Elephas maximus indicus: one gene and its partners. The protein of the gene in region 1 interacts with the protein of each later gene in a pairwise test. Links are inferred from orthologs where the notes say so. Each region holds a gene or a part of one and is shown in the gene's direction. Other genes may lie near its edges. The genes, in order: FHL1, AKAP12 and MYBPC1.

What was found.
Region 2: the proteins of FHL1 (region 1) and AKAP12 interact in binary tests that used the Homo sapiens proteins (3 or more experiments, as listed by UniProt). The link is inferred for Elephas maximus indicus from reciprocal best matches to the Homo sapiens genes FHL1 and AKAP12.
Region 3: the proteins of FHL1 (region 1) and MYBPC1 interact in a two-hybrid assay, tested with the Homo sapiens proteins (2 studies listed by BioGRID and IntAct). The link is inferred for Elephas maximus indicus from reciprocal best matches to the Homo sapiens genes FHL1 and MYBPC1.

The regions. Positions count from the first base shown.
Region 1 is NC_064846.1:19,884,402-19,892,129, reverse strand, and holds the start of FHL1 (four and a half LIM domains protein 1), read left to right. Parts: upstream 1-4,646; 5' UTR 4,647-4,756; intron 4,757-7,728.
Region 2 is NC_064819.1:222,609,859-222,617,572, forward strand, and holds the start of AKAP12 (A-kinase anchor protein 12), read left to right. Parts: upstream 1-4,710; 5' UTR 4,711-4,877; coding exon 4,878-5,051; intron 5,052-7,714. UniProt on the Homo sapiens protein: Anchoring protein that mediates the subcellular compartmentation of protein kinase A (PKA) and protein kinase C (PKC).
Region 3 is NC_064822.1:167,861,419-167,868,651, forward strand, and holds the start of MYBPC1 (myosin-binding protein C, slow-type), read left to right. Parts: upstream 1-4,180; 5' UTR 4,181-4,393; coding exon 4,394-4,418; intron 4,419-7,233. UniProt on the Homo sapiens protein: Thick filament-associated protein located in the crossbridge region of vertebrate striated muscle a bands. Slow skeletal protein that binds to both myosin and actin.

The DNA.
Region 1 (7,728 bases):
GAGGTCACTGCCTCCTGGGTTCTAGAGGATGAAGCCGCCACAGTGGGCTGAGAGGTCAGGATTCCTCATCCCAGGTGGGATGAAAGGTCCTTGGGGCCTCTGCCAGCCAAGAGTGCTGATTGAACTGCAGAAAATTATTCTCAGGCCTTGAAAACTATTGGAATTTGCCCTACTGGGTTTTACCCTTCCTTGAGACCTGTGACCCCTTTTTTCCTTCCAATCTCTCCTTTTTGGAATGGGAATGTCTTTCCGATGCCTGTCCCACCATCATATTTTGGAAGCAGATAACTTTTTTTTGTTGTTGTTTCATAGGTTCAGAGATGAAGAATTTTGCCCCAGGGGAGGGACCATACCAGAGTCTCACCCATACCTGATTTAGTTGATTTAGAAGATGAGATTTTGGATTTAGAGTTGATGCTGGAATGGGTCAAGATTTTTGGGGGTGTGGGGATGAAGTGAATGCATTTTGCATGTGGAAAAGACTTGAATTTCAGGAGGCCAGGGGGCTGGCAATTGTGTCCTTAAAAAAATGTCTTGAAGGCCTAAACCTCGATCCCTGTGAATGTGACCTTGTTTGGAAATAGGGTCTTGCAGATATAATTAGGTAAGTTCAGATGAAGTTACTAGGCTGAACCCTAATCTCTTTATGACTTATGTCCTTAATAAGAAGCGAAGAGACACACAGGGAAGAACACTATTTGAGGACAGAGGCGGAATTGAAGTTATGCTGCCACAAGCCAAGGAAAGCCTGGGGCTACTAGAAGCTGGAAGAAACAAGGAAGATATTCCCTTAGGGCCTTTGAAGAGAGCATGGCCCTGTACATTTCTCAATTCAGACTTACTAGCTTGCATAAAGAAAACAAAAATCCTTATAACTGGACCAATAAACAACATAGTGATAAATGGTGAAGAAATTGAGGTTGTCAAGGATTTTATTCTTCTTGGACCAACAATCAATGCCCATGGAAGCAGCAGTCAAGAAATCAGAAGACATATACATTGGGCAAATCTGCTGCAAAAAACCTCTTTAAAGGTGTTAGAAAGCAAAGTTGTCATTTTCATGAGTAAGGTGTGCGTGGTCTTTTCAATCACCTCATATGCATGTGAAACCTGGACATTGAAAAAGGAGGAGTAAGGAATTGACACATTCAAATTGTGATGTTGCCGAAGAATATTGAATATACCATGGACTGCCAGAAGAACAAACAAATCTGTCTTGGAGGAAGGACAGTCAGAATGCCTCTTAGAATGGTGAGGCTTCATCTTGCTCACTTTGGACACGTCATCCAGAGGGACCAATCACTGGAGAAAGACATGCTTGGTAGAGGGTCAGCGAAGAAGAGGAAGACCCTCAATGAGATGGATTGACACAATGGCTGCAACTGTCGGCTTAAACATAGCAACAATTATGAGGATGGCACAGCATCGGGCAACTTTCATTCCATTATACATAAGGTTGCTGTAGGTTGGAGCCAACTTCCACGGCACCTAACAACAAGAAGCTTGCGGAGCTGTGAGAGAATAAGTTTACACTGTTTTAAGCCACCTACTATGTGGTAATTTGTTAAGGCAGCTTTAGGAAACTAATACAGCTGTCTTCACAAAATCTTTAATATAAGGTTAAATGTAATAAGGTTAAATTTACAAGAAATGCTACGAGAGGAGGGAGAGATTACTTTTAGCTGGAATATCAGAGAATAGCTCAAGCAAGTTACAGCATCAGAGAGATGGGTCTTTGTAAAATGGGTAGAATTTGGACTAACAGGAGGAGAGGTGGGTGAGAGAAGGTGGGGAGAATGCACTCATTCATTTGAGAACCATTAATTAGAGACATAGCAACCAAATGTAATAAATGGGCCTTTAAAAATATCCTGGTTGGAATAAACTGTAAAAAAAAAATTGTAAGACAACTGTGGAATTCTGAATTCTGACTGGATCTTTGTGGCTAATAAAGGATTTTAGTTAACTACTTTTAGGTGTGATGATGATAGCATGCTTATGTTTAAAAAAAAGTTTTTTTCTTTTACCCATATATATTTTAGTATTTCTGGATGGAATAATATGATATCTTGGATTTGCTTTAAAATACTATGTGTGCGTTGGGGAGAATTGGAAATTAAATATTTTAGTCTATTAATTTCTTTTTGCTTCTTAATCCTGAAAGCATTAACAAAATGTAATGTGTGCACACGTTTGCAATTTGTGCACACATTACATTTATCTTTTATCTGTTTGCTTCCTCTGCAACAGGTGTCACAATCCCCCATATGCTTTAAAATGTGGAACTCTGTGTTTTCATGACCCATGAAGTCCAAATCCAAGGAGCTAACGTGTTAGGCGATTGAAAGTAGAGGGTCAGCGAAAAAGAGGGAGACCCTCAACGAGATGGATTGACACAGTGGCTGCGACAATGAGCTCAAACATAGCAAAGATTGTGAGGCTGTTGCAGGACTCAGCAATGTTTCGTTCTGTTGTACATGGCGTCGACAGCACCGAACAAAAAGATGTGTTAGGAGGCAGCCAGGGCTGGCTTTGTGCACAGATAAAAGAGGACAATGTGCTCAGGCAGCAGACCTTACCTTATGCCTAGTATGAGCACCGTAAATGTCTGCGGAAGAGAGGAAGGGAGGAAAGACGTGGGGGAGGGAAGAAGGAAGGAAGCAAGAAGGAAGGGGGTTGGGGAAGAAGGAAGAATGGCCAAAAAGAGGGCAAAGAAGGGAGGGGGCTGGGGAGGTCTGAACCACAACTAACATTGACTCAGTGCCAAAGAGTGGCCAGAAGTTTCCCTGGGAGAGGGCCCTTGGTCCAGTGCCTTCCATCTTGAGTACCTCTTATCTGTTTCTTTTGAGCTGGGGGCAGGGCTGGTATTGGGTGGAAACCACCTGCGGAATAGCTGATTGGCCAGGATGGGGTGAGTCTGCTAACCTTTTTCTCAAGCAAGTGTAGAATTAAATACACACACACAAATGAATGCAAGTAAAAGTGGCAAAATCTGAGTAAGACTGGTGAATTGTACTACTGTCAACGTTCTGGTTGTGATCTTGTACTATAGTTTTGCATTGGGGGAAAGTAGGTAAAGGGTACACGGGGACCTCTCTGTATTTCTTAACAAATGCATGTGAATCTACAATTATCTCAATAGAACAAAAGATTAATTAAAAGAAATATAAATCAGATCATGTCATGCCCCTACGTCAATTCATTCACTCAATGGCTTCCCGTTGATTTTGGAATAAAATGGAAACTTCTACCCATGGAAGATGATGCATTCCACGATTTGGTCCCTGTCAATCTGTCCAACCTTATATTGTGCCACTCTCCCCAGCTTTCCCGGTGCCAATCACAATTCCCATCAAGATTTGTCCCTCCCTTCTGGCTTTCATACATTTGCTCCCTCTTTCTGGAAGGATTTTTCCCTGGCTTTTCATAAGGTTGCTTCTTTCATAACTTTCAGCTTAAAGGCCACCTCCTCCCTTCCCAACTACACTAATTTGCACTGGTGGCGTAGTGGTTAAATGCTATTGCTGCTAACCAAAGGGTCAGCGGTTCAAAACCACCAGGCGCTCCTTGGAAACTCTATGGGGCAGTTCTACCCTGACCCTGTCCTATAGGGTCACTATGAGTCGAAATTGACTCCACAGCAACGGGGTTCTTTTTTTTTTTTTTTTTTTGGTTTTCTTTGCCTGCAGAGGCCCTATCCGAAATTCATATCCTCACTTCTTTGTTGCTGTCTCCCCCGCTAGATTGCAAGCTCCGAGGGTATGGTGGACAGTGTCTGAGTGACTGCACTGTACCTCCAGCGCCTGGCACTGTGCTTGGCACATGGTGAGGGCTCAGTCGACTGAATGTTGAATGAATGAACGAGTTGCCTAGTACCACTTCGCCACCCGTGCTTTCCGAGTAAAGCCCTCTGGATCCTGGCATCCAGTATAAGGCGGGGGTTCCCTTTGCTTCCTCCAGCTTGTGACTCAGGGGAGGGGTCGCCGGCGGGACTCCGCAAACCAGGCGGGAACGTGATGCGCTACTGCACCTGCGGCTTGACCGGAGTGCACAGGTTAGCTGAGGCCCCTGTTGAGCCGAGCCGCCACCTTTGCTCGCCTGCCTTTGTTTCTCCCACCTCCCCTGCCCTCGCGGGGCCTGCCTGCGGTGCCTCGTGACTCCCGTCGGCCTCGAAGGCCTATGGCCTGGCGCGGCGCGAGGGAGGGGCCCCGGGCGCCCCCCGCCTGGCGCCCCCGTCGGCCCTCTGGGGCAACGCTCGTGCCCGCCTCCCGCAACAGACTTCCCGCGCCCGCGCCCTGCAGGCCTCCGGCTGGGCCTCTCCCGGGGCGGGCACGTGGCCGCGTGGGGTGCGTGGCGGCCCCCATCCCGCCGAGGGCCAACAGGCTCCGGCGCGCGCCCCCTGTACCGCAGCCCCGCCCCCGCGCGCGCTCACGCCCCCATCGCCCCCCGCGCGCTCACGCCCCCCCGCCCCCCCGCGCGCTCACGCCCCCCACCGCCCCCCGCGCGCTCACGCCTCCCACCGGTCCCCTCCCGCGCGCTCACGACCCCCGCCGCCCTCCCTCCTCGCGCGCTCACGCCCCCCGCCGCTCCTGCGCGCGCCGCCCCTGCTCCCCTCCTGCGCGCACACCCAGCGCGGCCGAGGGGCTCAGTCCGCAGTCGCCGCCGCCGTCGCCGCTGCCGCCACCGCTGCCGCCTGGGCCTCGGTGCAGGCAGCGGCGCCACCACCGAGCAGCCGCGCGGGCGAGCATCCCACGCAGTAAGCCCTTTTTCTCTAGGCATGTGCGTGCGGGGCGCCTCCCGCCGCCTGGCCCGCGTCCCGGCGGAGGCTGCCCTCCTGCCCCGCGCGGGAGCCAGCGATCCCAGTTGGCCCCTGGCACTGGCTGCCGACTTGCAGAGCTGGGTACCTGCAGCCTCGGGCCTGGACGGCCTGGCCAGGGCGAGGGGGCGCCCCGTGGCTTTGGGCTGAGGGGTTGTGAGGTCCCCTAGGCTGCGTGCCTCAGCCTCCCCGGGGCTTTCTCCACTGGGGTGGCGGTGATGGGGATGGGCCGGCTGGGGTGGAGGTGGGAGTGAAAATGGGGGCTCTCCCTGCTTTCCTCTGCGGGAATGGTGGGGCGTGGGGAGGGAGTGAGGGGGGACTCATGGTTTTCTCCACGGGCTGGCGGGCAGTGGGGGTGGGGCGAGGTGATGGTGGGGTTGTGGGGAGCGAGTGAAGATGAGGTGCGGGGTACTCTTGCTATTTTCATCAAGGATAACTGGGATTGGGGAGGGGGCGAGGTGGGGGACGCGCCTTAGTTTTCTCCACGAGGATGGCGGGGTGGGGGTGGGGATGAGAGGGAGTGGAGGTGAGGGGGAATGCTGGGGGTATGGAGGGGCGGGGGTGGAGTGCATAGAGAATGAAGGAGGACCCCCGCTGCGGGTCTTCTCTTTAAGGGGGCGGTGGGGGGGGGAGGGGAGTTGGCGAGTGGGGGTGGGGAGAGTGAGTATTTCACCTCCAGCATGGATCTAGGGAAGCAAGAGGGAGGCTCTACCTCGGGGGTTGAGCCCTAGACCGTGGATTTTCAAAACTGCAGGGTGTGACCTTTCCGTCTAAAAAAGCATGAAATGCCTCCAAGGTGCCCTCTGTTCTAAGCTCTGGGCGAGAGGTTTCTGCCTTCGGAGTTTCTCTTGTATTCCCCGCGGCCTCTTCTGAGTTGTCCAGGACTAGGTAGAGATTTGAAAATCAGCGAGGCTAAGGGAAAGGTTGTGTGTTCAGTGCTGTATTTTCTGCGGGTTTCTCAGGTTTGTTTTTATTGCCCTTTACAGTAAAAACCCCATACCAGGGATACTCCTTGGGAAAAAAAGAACAAGGTTTATTAAGGGGAGTCCAGGTTCGGTTTTTGAATTCCCCAAAGGGCAAGAGATACCTCATTGTAGCATTTTTTTTTTTTCAGGAGGGTAGAAACAGTAGAAGAACCTTAGGTCTTTGCTGGAAGTCCCCAGTATTCTTTTAAATCATTCCATCAGGATTATCTGAGCCCCCTTTGATTTGAGTTTGGAATAGATCCAGTTTTGCTAATTGGAGCCATCATTTTGTAATTGCCTGTAGTTCTTCTCTGGGTTATCAAATCTATGGCAAGCTTATAGAACACCAGGAATAATTTTTTTCACTACCTTGATTAAGACAGTTTTAATGTAAATTTTATGTTCTTCCTTGAAAATATGCACAAGTTTGAATTATGGGCCCCTGGGAATTGTGCAAAGCCTTTCCCACCCTTTCTCATCTTCTACAGAAGGGAGCCCTCCCCATTCTTTATCCTGAAGCCTTGCAAGGGCTTCTGGGGTGGTAGTTTTGCCTTTGGAAACTCATACTCACTTTTGTTTAAGAACAATGTGCATTGAAAAGGCATCCGCCTTTATTGTGATGAAAATATATGTGCATTCACATGTTGGCTACATAAGGTTCCAATCTAGTCTTTACCTTTAGTCCTTAAAAATGCTTATTTAGCATTTGAAGAGCAAATATAATCTTTATGCAACAGAAGGTTGGTCAGATCGTTAGGGCATGATTTATGGAAACCACCTCACAATAAGTACACAGTCTAAGACAACCATATAGATTCTTCAACCAAATATGGTTTTTGAAATTCTAAGCTACTATTCCTATATTTAAGTTTTGGAGAAGAAAAGTATTTTTTCAACCAAGTCTAGATTTTTGAGTGAAACTTTGAAAAAATTTGTGTAAGATTTAAATTGGTAAAATTCCTCTCATATAAGAGCAACGCATTTGGAGTTAATTTAATTTAATATATATTTAAACTAATAGACCACTTAAAATTATTACTTGTTTACTGGCAATGTTAAACTGGAAATGTTTAAGTGGAAATGGAGCGTTTTGGACTCAAAGATTGATGACAGTGCAATTATTTCCACTATTGTTTGTGCCATTTCTAATGTTAATATGAGAGGCGTTTTGTACATAGGCAACAGTCTGAAAATAGAGTATTTTTACAATACAGTCTAAGAAAGTTAAGTGTGGTAAAATGTTCTGCAAAAAAGTGTGTTGATTGGTGATGGGTGTTAGGTTTCTCTCTAGAGAAAAAAAGCAAATGGAGTGTCTTTTACCTGGCTTGAGAACCTGTTCTCTGCCTTGTGGGACTGGAGGGGGAAAAAAATGAGTAAGTGTCAGAAATTAATGGAGGTGTGATTAAATATCTTTCTAAAATAGTCTTCAAGTTTGCTAATACCCATTTGAAAAGTAATTTGTAAATCAAGTCTTTGTGTAAGAAATTGACCCTCATCTCAACTTTTTTTTTTAATTGTAATATACACACAACACAACATTTTGTGAATTTCTACATGGTCGCCTCTGAAATTTTGACATTGAAAAGATAAGTTTGTTGAAGCAGTGGAAAGGCGCCCTGGCGGCTCAGTGGTTAAGGGCTTGGCTGCTAACCAAAAGGTTGGCGGTTCGAACTCACCAAGCACTCTGTGGGAGAAAGATGTGGCAGTCTGTTTTCACATTACAGCCTTGGAAACCCTATGGGGGCAGTTCTACTCTGTCCTAGGGTCGCTATGAGTCAGAATCAGCGGGATGCAAGGGGTTTTGTAAAAGTGGAAGCTTATCTTCTGAGACTGATCCCTGTTTTCCCGCTCTCTCGCCCCTCTCTTTTTTATATCCCCCCTCCCCCCACGCCAGCAACGATGGCTTTTGTAACCTTGTGGGAGTTGAACAAAAGCTCATGCTTGCTT
Region 2 (7,714 bases), on another chromosome or scaffold:
ATACTGTTTTATTGGTGACTGCATTTAATATTTTTTTTTCTTTATACAAAGGGAGTTGTAGGTATCAGCCATGTTAAATTAAAAAATCCAAAAAACAAACTCATTGCCATCGAGTCACTTCTGACTCATAGTGACCTTATAGGACAGAGTAGAACCGCCCCATAGGGTTTCTGAGGAGCAGCTGGTGGATTTGAACAGCCAACTTTTTGGTTAGCAGCTGTGCTCTTAACTACTGTGCCACCAGGGCTCCTGTGTTAAATTAGTTCTCTATAAGTAATTGCTTCTATAAAGGTTTCTACAGTGGCTGGGAAAATACAAAGATTGACTCCCATCCCCTCTTCTTTGTTACTTTAGAGAAATCTTGGGTTTGAGTCCCTGGTAACGTGTCAAAATGCGTAAGACAAAGTTTTGCCATCCTCGCTTCTAAGGAGCATTCTGCTGTACTTCTTCCAAGACAAATTCTTCATTCTTCTGACAGTCCATGGTATAGTCAATATTCTTCCATATAAGGATAGTGTTGCCTGTATATATGAATATATATGATGTATATCTGCAGGTGGTTGACCTTTGAACTCCATTTGTAAATTGAACTTTTTCTGTAGTTTCCATATAAACATTGGGATTACTAGTTATGCAAGAACTGAATAATGGTTAATTCTTCTAGCTATCTAGATTTATCACTAGCAAAGAAAGGAACAGCAGTTGGATTCTAAAATGACTGGGTATCTTGGTTGAAGTAACTGGTACAGAAGGAAGTAGACTTTTTATTTAGGGAAAACAAAGAAGCGATACGCGGTAGTTTCAAGGATAAGGAGTTGCCCTGTTCTGAGTGAAATTGCCTGAAGGCTGTGGAGCTAGAGAATGAATCTATAGGATAAAGTTAAGTGTGGCTTTTAAATTCTGTGTCAATCATTGTAATTGTGACTGTCCTTTAAAGGGGGTGTATTATCTCAGTTGTAAAATCTTTCATATTTGTGAATTCTTTTAGGTTATATTTGAAAACATTTTAGTGTGGCCTTGAGAGGCCCAATTAAGATGCTAAATTTTATTGGTAAATTGCATGTGACCTCTATTCCCTGAGAAGTTGGCTTAAGAAGTACAAGTCCAGCCTGCTACATTGGCAGTGTGTATTTGTTTTTGAGAAATCTCAAACTGTTATTATAAGAATTAACCCTCTCAGGGAAACGAACTCTACCACCTGCTCTCCCCTGGGAGAGTCTGTGTGGTAACACCTGCCTTTGGCTGTTGGGAGGAGAAAGACAGAGTGCTGAGGTAATTAAGAGCCTTGAATGGAGAAGTGTAAAATAGCAGCAGCTACTCCCCTCACCATGTCACCAACACCAAACCAAGCAATTCTGAAGGCAACTCCTAACCCTAGGAAATAACACCTCGGTAACTTGATTTGGGGGTACCGATGGTTTAGTGATAGAATTCTCGCCTTCCATGCGGGAGACCTGGATTCAATTCCCAGCCAAGGCATCTCGTACATAGTCACCACCCTTCTACCAGTGGAGGCTCTTGTGTGCTGCTGTGATGCTGAACAAGTTTCAATGGAGCTTTCAGGCTAAGATGTACTGGGAAGAAAGGCCTGGCTATCTACTTCTAAAAACCAGCCAATGAAAACCCCATGGATCACAATAGTCCCATTCAAAATTGATCAAGGGAATGGTGCAGGACTGGATAGTGATTGCTTCAGTTGTACATGGGGTCATTATGAGTGAGGGCTGGTTTCGCAGCAGCTAACAACAAGAACATTGGGGAGCACAGTAAGCCTGTGCTCAGCACATAATAGGCACTTAATTAATGTGCTCAAAGTTCCCTGGATGACCCAAATAGTTTGTGCTTGTCTACTAAATCTAAAGGTTGGCAGTTCGAACCCGCCCAGTGGCACCACGGAAGAAAGACCTGGCAATCTGCTTCCCTAAAGATTATGGACAGTTTTATTCTATAACACAGGGGATAACCATGAGTTTTGGTTGAATATGTTTAAAGAAGGAATGGATGAACTTGGTAATAATGTTCTGAAGCAGTAAGTAGCATATCCAAAAGACTGGGACATCTCAATGCTAGGGATAAAAAATAACATAACCATGTTTCCTAAAAAAAGTAACTCCCAAGTCAGTGAAGAAACCAAGGGTAGTTATGTATGCTTGTATGAATCCATAAAAGGGCCTGTTATTCTTAATATTCCCTTAACTATGGAGCTATTTCAGGCAGAATAGGGAGTATTAGAACGTGCACATTTCTTAAAATAACATCTTGCTTTTTTAAAGTAAGAATTTAAGTATTTTCATAGCCTGGAAAATCTATGGTTGTAAAGCAAGAAATTGCTAATCTATGCAGACACCGGCCATGGACTCCTTGTTCAACAAGTGGGTTGTATAAATGGGTGCTTGAAATCTGTTGACCTTGTAATACTTTCTGAATATTTAAAGGCTAGCAGATATGAAAAGCTTTATTATGAATTTCCCAAGAACTGAATAAATATTATCTCACAGAATGGGGAAATTTTGATAGTATTTGTACTACTTGCTGATACATTGTCATATTGTGCTGACGCTGATTACTCTCAAATAGGCTTTAACGGCGTTTTGAGTTCCTAACAGCCAAAGCTCCTCCTCGCTAACGTTCCCAAGGAGCTGGTGAACACATTGAAAGCTTCTCACAGAGGGAGAATGAAGTGTCGTGCAGTAGACAAGCGTCAGCCTTGAAGCCAGATCCTGGGTGGACCCCCGCTCTCTCATCTACCAGTCGTGATAACCTTGAGCACATAATTCTTTTGGGCTTCCTTTTTTTTCTTCTCTACTGGCAAAAACTACAACATTGGCAAAACACTAACCAAAACCTCGAAAACACAGACGAGTTGCCTTTGAGTCAGTCCCGACTGGTGGTGAACCCAGGTGTGCAGAATAGAACTGTTCTGTAGAGTTGCCAAGACTGTGACCCTTCAGAAGCAGACCCCCAGGCCTTTCTTCCAAGGCACCACAGGGTGGGTTGGAACTGCCAAACGAAACCGATTGTGCCACTCAGGGACTCCTTCCATTGGCAAAATGAGAATAATGTCTGCATTATAAAATAAAAAAAACCAAACCCACTGCCATTGAGCCGATTTCGACTCGTAGCGACCCTATGGGACAGAGTAGAACCACCACATCCTTCTCCTTAGAAGTGGCTGGTGGGTTCGAACTCCGGCCTTTTGGTTAGCAGACGAGCACTTAATCACTGTGTCACCAGCATTCTCTCTATAGGGTTATCGCAAGAATTAAATGTGATTGTATATGCAAAATGCTTTGAACAGTGCCTAGCACAGAATAAGTACTCTAATGTTTCTGAAATAGTAAAAATTTAAGTCTAAGTGGGTGAAATGCCTATAAATCTCTAAAACCAAGCATTTTGCAACTATGCTGTTAACTAACAGATAAATTCCCAGGAAACTGGCCTTTGTGTACTTCTTTGCATAAAAATGGTTAATTCAGAAAACAAACTTTCTGCTAGATAATAAATCTATGATTCCCAGAATGCTGTTACAATACAGGCAATTAATTAGGCGCAAAATATCCCAGAGCTTAAATATTGCTTTTTTTAGTGGGTAGTCAGTCTGGGTATGTGGCATTCGTCTGGTGTTAGTGCCAGTATGCCAAAAGGTTCTTCATTTTTATTGAGTTTTGATTCCAACTGTTAGTGAAAGCCAAGCTGCTTCCTTGTCAGATAAAACTGGGATAATTTCTATCTTCCAGCCTCAACACCTTCATGCTGTTGTGCCAAATAGTCCAGCTAAAAATTTAATTTAGTTGAAATATTTATTGACTGCCCGTTAAGTTATGTTGATAGAATACCATATTCACAAAGGGGAAAAAATGCAAGCCACTTAGACTGGTATACTTTAAAGCCTGCATCTACTGACAAATACTGATGGAAAAATGAACAGGGCTCTGTGATCAGTTTCAGCATCACTCGAGCCAGCAGCGGCCTGGATGGTAGGTAACCTCTAGCATTGGGCGCTCCAAGGAGAGGCACATTTCCGGTAACAGTCTCACTCCCCCCCCCCCCATTCCCCAGGGAAAGAGGGCAGTCAGTCTTGCTGATGACATCGGCTGACATCACTTGTGCCGGACGATAGGAGAGCGCGGGGCTGCCGAGCTCACCTCATCTGTGGTCTGCCTGCGTTAACCTCTCAGCTCCCTGCTCCTGCCACGGCAGTTGCCCTAATATGGTCAGACTCCGGAGGAGCCCAGGAGCGCTTGCCTTTCTCCTGCGAATGAGGAGGCTAGAACGAATGTTTAGAGTCAAACACAATCTGAAGGAAAGCAAATAGGGATTTGGTTCGCTTCTGAGCCACTCGAAAGTCAGCTGCAGGAGAAGCGCCTGCCTTGGGTTATCAATCATTTAAAAATAAAACCCAGCGAATCCAATGTCCCCGGGAGGCTTTCTGCTCGCCCTCTTTTCTGCTCCTCCCTCACCTTCTGCAACCCTTGCTGGTTCCCTCGGCCCTGGTCCCCTTTTATAAGCGGGAGGCGCCCGAGGGGTCCGGGTGGGCTGCACTAGGACCTTGGCTCACGTGCGTCGCTCGCTGCGCCTCGGGTCCAAGCAGCCTGGGGAGATGCTGCTGCAAGGCGTGTCTGGGGCTGTGCTCATGTGATGAGGCGAGGGAAAAACAAGGGGAGGGGAGGAGGCTACGAGGTGGCTTTTTTTTTTTTTCTTTTAAGGAGTTTGCGGCGAGCGCGTCTCCTTCATTCGCAGTCGGGGCTCGTTGGAGGAGGCAGGCAGGAGAGGAAGCCACGCGTGGGACCTCGCCGGGCGCACTTCTGCTTGCTGGTCCCTGAGGTTCGGCGGAGGCGTAACCAGGCGGCCGGCCGCGGGAGAAGCGCCGAGAAGCCATGGGCGCCGGCAGCTCCAGCGAGCAGCGCAGCCCCGACCAGCCGGAGGCGGGGAGCGCGCCGCTGGCCGAGCCCGAGCCCGAGCCCGAGCCCAGTGGCGGCGGCCCCTCGGAGGAGACGGCGTCCGGCGCGTTGGGGGATCCCGCCGTCGCCGCCGCGGACCCCGCCGCAAAGGTACTGGTGAGCGGGCCACCTGCCCGGGGTTGGGGCGGGGGCTCCCCCTGATTTCTGCCTGCGAGAACTCCACGGCCCCGCCAGCCCTTGTGCAAACTCGGGAGCACCGATCCCTCTTTCTAAGCTTTTCTGGGGCTTGTGCGCCGGGCCGGGACAAGAACCGCGGCGAGCGCGGCAGGGGGCTTGGGTCTTGGTCGTGGGTCTCAAGGGGAGGCGACTGCGCCATCCGCAGTCATAAAATCTGCCCCTGCCCACCGCCAAGCCTTTCTGCACACTCTTCCGGTGGGAACGACCCAGACTGGGGGCGTGGGGCGAGTCCGTGTACTCCCTCGCCCTTTCTCACAGATGCGGAAAGTGAGCAGTGGGCTGGGACCACGCTCAGATCCCCCGCCGCGCCTGGCCTTGATGCCAGCGGTGCCCGGAGTGACCAGGTTGGTACCCAGTCCTCCTGCGGCAGCCGCCTGGGCGGACACCGCCTTCCTGATGCAGACAGAGCGGGTGGTGTGGCAAGCGCGCAGCCAAGAAAACCCCGGGCAGACGCCGCATGTCCAAAAGGAATGACAGGTTTCGCAAGCAAGTCTGCGTCCACCCTTTGGTTCAGTTCGTTGTCTTTGGACTCAGTTGGATAAACAAATACTGGAGTAGTTGTTAGAAGTTCTCGAAGGATGTGGTCAGTAAGCGAGCATTCCCTGTACTCTTTTCCATGTAGGTGGTGCTGAACCTCACATAGCCTAGAAATATTGCATTTTACCGTCCTAAATCTCCAAGGCTGAATTGTTACCTGATTCTGGGCCACTACAGCTGCCAAGATGGTGACTTGGTGTGATCGTTGTGTTTTAGATCTGTTTTCCAGCATGTGTGTTTATGATAACAGGGCGTTGCCCCACCGGCTTTGTGACATCCTCATAGGAAGATGTGGATAACCATACGTAATACCTTAATAACCTTCTACGTCGAAATGGAGGATAGAAAGTACTTAAGGACCTTTAAGAATAATTTCAAGAGGTACAGACGTTTCCAGTGGGGCGGGGTGGGGGGGGACCACACATGTTGAAATTTAGGTAAATTTCGCAGAAGTATGACTTCATTGCCTTGACCGCTTTAGCTGTCCTGGTCTAGTGTGGGCTGAGAGACTGCTCTAATAACGTAGTTTACCTCCAATCTTTAACTTGTAACTACCTGTAGCATCCTTGGCCCTAGGTATTGTGTGTTTACTGTGCCTCAGCTTCTGGCCTAGGGAATGTACTATCCTTTTGAGGACGAGTATTTTAGCATTATTGATATCACTTTTTGATACCAGCTATTAAAAAAATTTTTTTTTTTATTATTATCAAGATGGCTGTATAACCAGTGTCTCAAATCCAGTGATGAAAATAATTTTAAGGTTCAATTTTTAAAAAACTTGCAATTGGGGAACATTTTCTTTTCTTTGGCTTTTATGACCCATTCAGATCTTATTAACTATTCACACTAGAATATGGTACTCATTCCCTTTTCCAGTAAACTTGAATTCTTGTTTTAAAACATGCCTTCCATTCTCTTCTTTATCCTTTTTCCATAGCCTTGCCTTTCATCCTCTTTCCTAGTCACCGCCATCTTGAAACAGCCAGACTGCCTCCTCTAGAAAATTATTTAAATGACACCCAGATTATCATTTTACTGGTTGGCATGCTTCCCGGTTATCAATTTGGAGACAAATCAATACGCTTACATGTATCCTTGAAAAATGCCGTTTTTCATTTCAACCAGCAAAATTTATGACTCAGGTTTTGCAGACCTAAGGTTTTTCAAGAGGGCTCTCCAATTAATAATGACTCAGCAGGTAACTTTTACCTCCCCTCTTGGCCCTTTAAGCTCCAATTCCTGACCTCTGAATAGTCCCATCTGCCACTCTCTGCTCGCAAAGCATCATGGATCCTTCTTCCCGGCAGTTTCCACATTTATGGGTTTCGTGACTCCACTACTAAGTGCTTTCCCTGGCTGTTTTGGATGCTCTACAAGGGTGGGGACCATATCTGTTTTTGCTCACACCAGGTGTCCCCATGTGTAACATGCTGCCTTGCACATAGTAGGCTCTCAATAAATATTTGTGCAAAGAAGGGACACTATTGGCTTTCTGGTTTTGACTGGAAACTGTCAAGTTGGGGCAGACCCATCTACTTTTTTACAATTTAACCTTTGACATTCTTGTTACCATTATGGGTCTCAAATATGAGATAGTGACTAAGTCAAGTCAGTTTGTTTGGTTATTAATTGCGTGGGTTCTTTGGGAAAAAAAATCAGGTTTGTGGACTTTGGTTTTTATTTCCATAAAGTCCTGGTGGCTTGTTTGCATTGCAGTTTTGAATTGCCTTTATTCTCAAATAGACAAATATATCAAGTTCAAGTAGCCCAGGTAAGATTACTTCATACATTGAATTAGTTAGGAATTATATCTTGAGCCTTCTTGATTGGGCCTGTGGACATTTGGGGGAAGTTTAGGCTAATAAATTCATCTTCCCCCTGGGTAGAATGCCAATCATAATTTTTTTTTTCCCTATCTGAATGACATGCATGCTGCTTATTTAGCAATTCACCTTCCTTTTTTTTTTTTTTTTCCTGCCAATTTCAGTTAGCAGATAACTCACTGAGTGTCTGCATCTCAAAAGAAGAACTCTAATTGT
Region 3 (7,233 bases), on another chromosome or scaffold:
TATAAAGTTATAGTAAAAAAAAAAAATAGTATGTGATGTTTATTGCAGTATTTCTCATTGTGGTGAGGCACAGGAGACAATCTGAATAGCCATCAGAAGGGAAGTAGGTAAGAAATTATGGCATGATATTCAGCTATTAAAAAGACTTAGTTAGGACGATATGTATTAATATGGAGGGATGTCTGTGACAGATTAAATGAAAACAGCATGTTGAAGAGTCATGTAAATAATATGATGCCATTTCATAAAAAGTAGACAAAGTGAATATATAAGTTTGTGTGTGTTTGTACATGCATAGAGAAAAGTTAGACCCTAATTCATACCTTGGAAACAGGGTGAGATTGTTGGCGTGCTAATTATACTTCTCTGCAGTCTTCGGCTGATGCAGGAATCATTATTGCTTTTATTTTGAAAGGTGTTCCAGAGATTGGTAATTGCCTATCCAACATCCATTCTTCCCATTTCTCCTCCGTAACAAAACCTCAGTTTTTATCTGAGCGAACTGTCAGTGAAACTGAAAGACTACCTATCCCAGTTTTGTTTGTAGCTGGATATGTCCATGTAACCAAGTTCTTCCTAGGAGGATATATTAGACGTGCTGTGTGACACTTTCAAGAAGGGTCTTTAAAAGAGAGAAGGTGAGTCCTTCTTTGATCTTTTCTGCTGCCTGAAACGTGAATTTAATGACTAAAACACTAGCAGCTGTTTTAGTCCATGAAGTTACCTGGAGAATGGTAGAGAGGAAAAAAGAAGGACCCTGGATTCCCGGACCCGCCATAATGACGTTAGACTACGTGCCTCTGGACTTGCTGTACGTGAGAGAGAAATACTCCTATCTTGATTCGACTGTTGTTATTTTGTGATTTTGTCTTATATGCAGCCAACCGTCATCCTACATAATACAAAAGGAAAAATCCAATAAAGTATTTTGCCACACAAAAAATTTTTTTATTAAAAATAATCCCGTTGACCGTTTCCCCTCCCCTTCCTGAGAGAGGGATGGAAGAAAAGGAAGCCACTTACGTTTGAAATAGATCTATAACATCTGAAAGAAAGCTTTGTGTTTCCAAAACTGTACAGTTCTGAGAAAACTACACATAGACTTATTATTGTAAGTTAAAATTTTACCTCAGCCACCTGGTACACTCTACAACTCTTTATCTTAGAATTTATCCACACTTCCAATTCCTTTCATTACATTTTGTCATTTAAAATCAAGTCCTTTATGACCTAAATGTTCCCAAGGTCATAAAATATTTTCTCCATGGGTTGCAGTATTTCCTGGCACATGTGCACTTCAGTAAAATGATCAGTGGATTAAAAACCCAACAGGGTTTCTGCAATGTGTCAGAAGCCAGTGATGGCACGGCACCTCCTTTGTGGCATGTGTGAAATCTGCCCATCACTCTAAACGTTCTTTTGCCATATGATACTCGGCTCTTACGTCCATTTTGTATGTGGTGTTGAGTGTCCTGGGGATGCTGAAAAACAAAAGATCCTTTTTTGAGGACCTCTGTGTAGAATCACAATGTTCAACCTAGAAGGGGCCTCTTTTTTTTTTTTGGTTTTTTACAAAAGAGGAATCTGAGGCCCAGAAAGACCACCTGACTTTCTCAGGGTAATACAACTAGGTAATGATAGGGCCACAAATAGAAGCCAAGGGTCTGACTTCATGTTTTAGGTTCTTTAATTTGTTTCATCTGTTAATGGACACTCTGGTCTCAGGTTCAGGAAAGTTACTTTTTTTTTCATGCCACATCTTACTTTGTTACAGGATGTGCTGTTTTCTGACTGACATTTAGCTAAGTGTTTTTTTCATGAATTGAATTGTGTGACCCTCCCCCCAAAATGTGTTGGAATCCTAGCCCCTATTCCTGTGGCTGTAAACCCATTTGGGAATAGGGTTTTCTTTATTATGTAAATGAGGTCACATATAGGTATATCGTAAACTTACTTTTGAGCTATAAAAATAGCAGATTATCAAGAAGGGAGAGTGTTGACATGTCATGGGGTTGTTAGCCAATGTCATAATACAATATGTGTACTGTTTAATGAGAAACTAGTTCTGTAAACCTTCATCTAAAGTACAATAAATAAATAATAAATAAAAACGCAACTATAATGAGATACCATCTCACCCCAACAACAACAAAAAAAGAGCAGATGAGGCACAAATGGGGGAAAGGTAGACACCACATGGAGATAGCCAAGGAACTAAGGAACCAAGGGTAGAGAAGCTGAGGCAAGGATTTTCCACCAGAGTTAACAGAGAGCCTCGCCCTAGAGCCGGGGCCCTGGATTCAGGTTTCTAAGCCTCCTAAACTGTAAGAAAATACATTTCTGTTCATTAAAGCCACCCACTTGTGGTATTTCTGTTACAACAGTACTAAAAAAAAAAAAAGCTAAGATAGCCTCTAAGGGCAAAAAAATATTTAAGAAAGCGAAAGGACGTGCTCAGTAGCATTATGTGGTTGAGAAAGAGCTTTCTTTAGAGAAGATGTTCACTGACCTTCTTGACCGCTCCCCCCACCCCCACGCGTACACATAGCTGAAGCGTGATGCTATTGAGTTCCAAGTTGAGTTTCCATCCCTATATGAAAAGTTAGCTTGGCACAGAGTTTGGTAATGCTAAGTCTGACCAGCTGTGCTCTTAGCCACAGGAGAAATTAAATGAGACAGTGTGGCTGGTTCAGTACAAATCAATCAAAGTGTCTTGAAACAAATCTCGAAAATACCCACCAATGAAGGCATGCCAAGAAGTTGTCTTTATATATAAACTAATTTCAGTCTTAGTCTCTGAAATCCTATGCATGTGAATGAAGAAAGGTATCTTTTTTTAGTTTGACACTTTGTAGCTCATATTTCTCTAACAGTTCCATGAGGTTTTTGAGAGAAAGTGGCCAAATCGATACATTCTACCAATATCATAAATTAGATATGTGTGTTAGTGTGTCACCTGAAAACAAAACAATAGCTCCTGGTCCATCTGACTTTCTTTGCCATCCTGCATATTTTTTTTAAGTGCACAATTCAGTGGTTTTTAGCATATTCACAAAGTTGTGCAACCCTCACCCACCACTCTATAATTCCAGAACATTTTCATCTCTCCCAAAAGAAACCCTGTATCCATTAGAGAGGCAGTGTTGGTTCAATGGTAGAATTGTAGCCTTCGCTGTGGGAGAACCAGGTTTGATTCCCAGCCGATGCGCCACAAGTGCAGCCACCACTCCTCTGTCCGTGAAGCCTTTCGTGTTGCTGTGACGCTGAACAGGTTTCAGTGGATCTTTGATATTAAGATGGGCTAGGAAGAAAGGCCTGGCAATCTACTTGCAAAAATCAGCCAATGAAAATCCTGTAGATCACAGTGGTCCGATCCACAACCAATGATGGAGATGGCACAGGGCAAGGCAGCAGTTAGTTCCCTTGCATACAGGGTCGCCGTCAGTCAGGGGCGACTCAAGGAGCTAACAGCAACAACCTATTAGTGATCCCTCCCCATTCCACCTCCTCCCACCACCTGGCAACCACTAATTTGCTTTCTGTCTCTACGGATTTGCTCATTTTGGGCATTTCATACAAACAGAATCCTACATTATGTGGCCTTTTGTGTCTGGCTTCTTTCATTTACCACAATACTTTCGAGGTTCATCCATGTTTGTAGTATGTATCAGTACTTCATTCCCTTTTTTGCCCTGTGCTTTTTTAAAAGAAAGTTTCTTGAAAAAAGGCAAATGATAAGTATTCCTTAACAGGAAATTTTGCTATGCTTGGAGGAGAAAATAAGACAAGATATTCAATGGAAATTTGACTTGGCACTTGACCTATTAATAAAAATACAATTTTTTTTTTTTAACATCCAGTAATTAAGAACTGGTAAAGATGAAAACTAATGGAGCATAAAAATTACCATCTGAATACAGAGAGATTGTTCTTTCTAATGGTTGTGCAAATTAAGATACGTGTTCATCAGCGTGTTATGATTTTAATTTGATTTTCTACTATCCCACCAAATTTTTGCACTCTTGAGCCGGCACATGCATGTGTCAGACAGAAAGAGAAGAGCAAGAAGGAGCACGAGGCTGCGCTGAATTTAGAAAGCTAGAGGTGTCCTCACCACATGAGATGGGCAGGAGATTCCTTCCAGCAGGCGAGAGAGCAGAGTGCAGACAACAGATGGGAGAAAGGTCCTCAGAGCTGTCAAGTTCCAGCATCTTTGCGCTGAAGAAGGGGAGGTGCCAACATGATTGATATTCAGAGGCAGTATAAAAGCTCAGGATTTCTCCCCAACTGCTTGTCACGCTGACCTCCCCCATCTCTTGACTGCTCGTGGGGTTTCTGTCAACTAGTCCTGGAGCCAAGAAAACTCTTTGGAAAATAACATTTTACTGTGGTCATGCCAGAACCCACTAAGAAAGAGGGTAAGACTCACTCATAAACCTTATACTTTTCATTAAAGTGTGTTTATTTTGGTATTTCTTTTAAAACAGATATCCAATTTTTAAAACAGCATGCAAAATAATAGAATCACTTTGATTTAAGGAAAGGATACTTTAGAATAAAAAGAAGAGAGGGAAAAGACATCGAGAATTTAACTAATTGAAAATTATCTGATAAAGTTTATGAAGGAATATTGGCTATAATGATCAAGTTATACTTTTATCATTCAATTGCAAGGGATCCTTAAAGTGTAATTTAAAGATGTTAATTGCCAGTGGTGAAGAGATTACATCTCCAAGCATATTTTCCTAGGCTCAATCATAAATTTTTCACCTTGTATTTGCAAGATGGGCGGGGGGAAGGGGGGCTGGGGAACTTGGAATGCTTTCTTAAATGGTTAACAGATTTGGTCAGGATTTCAAAAAAGAATTGTTATGACAGTATTTCCAGATTTATTATATATTTTTTCCATATACAAATGTAGGTATTTGTTGCTTTTATCAGTGTTTTGGAACTTCCATAGGGATGACATTATTGATTTCTTACACGGAAAGAAAATCAAACACCCTGGTAAAAGAGAATACCTCTGGATATCACAGATAGATTGTATTCTTTCACTAGTTTTATGTAGATAATTCCATAAGGTGTAGACTTTTATAAGTAATTAAAGTGAAAACATAAAATCACTCTTCAGTCAAAAAAAATTTCTTCCAAAAACAAGTTTCATTTTTCTATGAGAAAAAGATTTGATCAATATTTTAAAATTACCAATTAATAACATTATTAATAATAACTAAGTGATAAGTTAGAATTAATAATTGCTAAAATTTACTAATCAGAATAGTTGAATGGTACAGTACCTTGTTTAGTTTTTAATGGAAATGTCTTAAAACAATGCCATTTTATTCATTTTAGCTTTAATTAGTGCATACCGGATATTTTTATTTCTGCAAATAAAACCAAAAAAAGAAGATTATAAAAAATATTAAAAAAAGATTAGCAGGAGGCATAAAAATAGCATTTAGTTTTTTTCCATTTTGCCTTCAATTCTTAAAAATGCCTTTTAACCATTGTTTTTGAGGTACCCTGAAACATATGCCGCACATTGAACCCAAAGTCGAAACACTAACCAAATTATCAAAAGCCTTTTAAATACATTTTCTTTATGTAATTAAGTAACTGGTGTTGACAGGCTGTGGTGATCAGTTTACAGGTTGGCTTTACTTAGTGGCGGAGGGCATTGATGGATGAAGTCTTCCACCCAAAATAACCACACCAAATGCATGCATTAATATGGGGACTTAATCCTGCTGATCAGGCAGCGAGTCCAGCCCCTGCTAAAGGGTCTTATTTGTAATGCAAATGATTTACGTGTGTATTAAGTGTCCTTTTTATTTGATCTGTCACTTGACTAGCCTCTTCAAAGCTTACTTGAGTGGAATACAGTCTATGTTTCCTGGCCTAGAGCAGAATATTGTTGTAATTATCCTGAATTTGGGGGATAAATTTGTGTTTGTTATTTTAAAGGCCAATTGAAACTGCCAGCAATGCTGAAAAATTAATTAATAAGGTAGTAGGCTGTAGAGCCTATAAAGCTAATTAAATTATTCTGATTGCTAGATGCTGGGAAGTTTTACATTTTTTGTCTGACCACTCAATCTGATCCGTTTTACTTTCAGAGAGGGTGAAATTTTAGAGCCAGAAGGAGGAAAATATTTCTTTTCTCCCCCTAATAAATCTGCATGGATACCAAAGTCTCCACAATCCTTTTTTTTGGCTGTAAAAACACTGTTGCTATAAAAATATGTAAGAGTCCCTTCAGCAAGGACATTAATTTTGTGCCCATAGATTCTTTGATTAGTTTAAATTTGGAGTGGAGTAAAAAGAAAATGACAGATATATTTAAAATCCTTTAGAACACACAGGCATTTTGTTTGTTTGTTTCCTTACCAACATAACTGATTCTTAAAAGATCTGTACCTCAAAGCGTTGTCCTGGTGAAATCACTGCATTTTAATATTGTGCACATCAGAATCCTAAGGACTATGGTAATTCATGAATTCGTCTAGTCCTTGCACCTTCTCCTAACCGTGATTTCATTGTCACTGGTGTTGGTTTTGGTCCATGTAAACATCCCTCTCGAAGACAGCCCCAAGTAAAAAACAAGCCACCAAACTAATTCTTCAGAAACATTTCAAACTAGCTGCAGAAACCCTCCCCACAAACGGGTTCACCTAGCTCTAGCAGCTCTTCTTAGCGCTCTTCCTCAGCTGGGAAAACCATGCCAGGAAAGACATAATCATTTGCTGTGAATCTTGATGGTCTGGTGTGGCCCTCCTAGGACCCAGGAGGACCTGGTAACTTTTCAAAAGAGGTTGAGTTTTCAGCACCTGAAGGTGCAAAGAACATTTTGCTCTACTCCCTCCCAACCTACACGAGCCTAGTTCTGGGAGATTCATTGGGGTCTTGGGAGAGTTGGCCCTTCTAAGGAGGAGGAAGAAGGAAGGACAGGTGTAAGTTTGAACATCAAGGAGGAAGGCTAATGGAAGTAATTAGCTGACGGTCCTTATTTAGACCTTTGAACATATTCTGGGTGGCCTGGTGACCTCTTTTGGAGACAGAAAGTATTGTTTTTAAGAAGCAGCCACTTCCATTGCCCTCCTCTTCACCTTCATCAGACGTGTATTTACTGGAGAACTATATTGTTTATATTGTCAGTTCCAGATAAAAGGCCTATCTTATGTTTTAGATTCATGCAGGACCTGAGGCTAGTAAAATTGTTATTTTGATCAAATA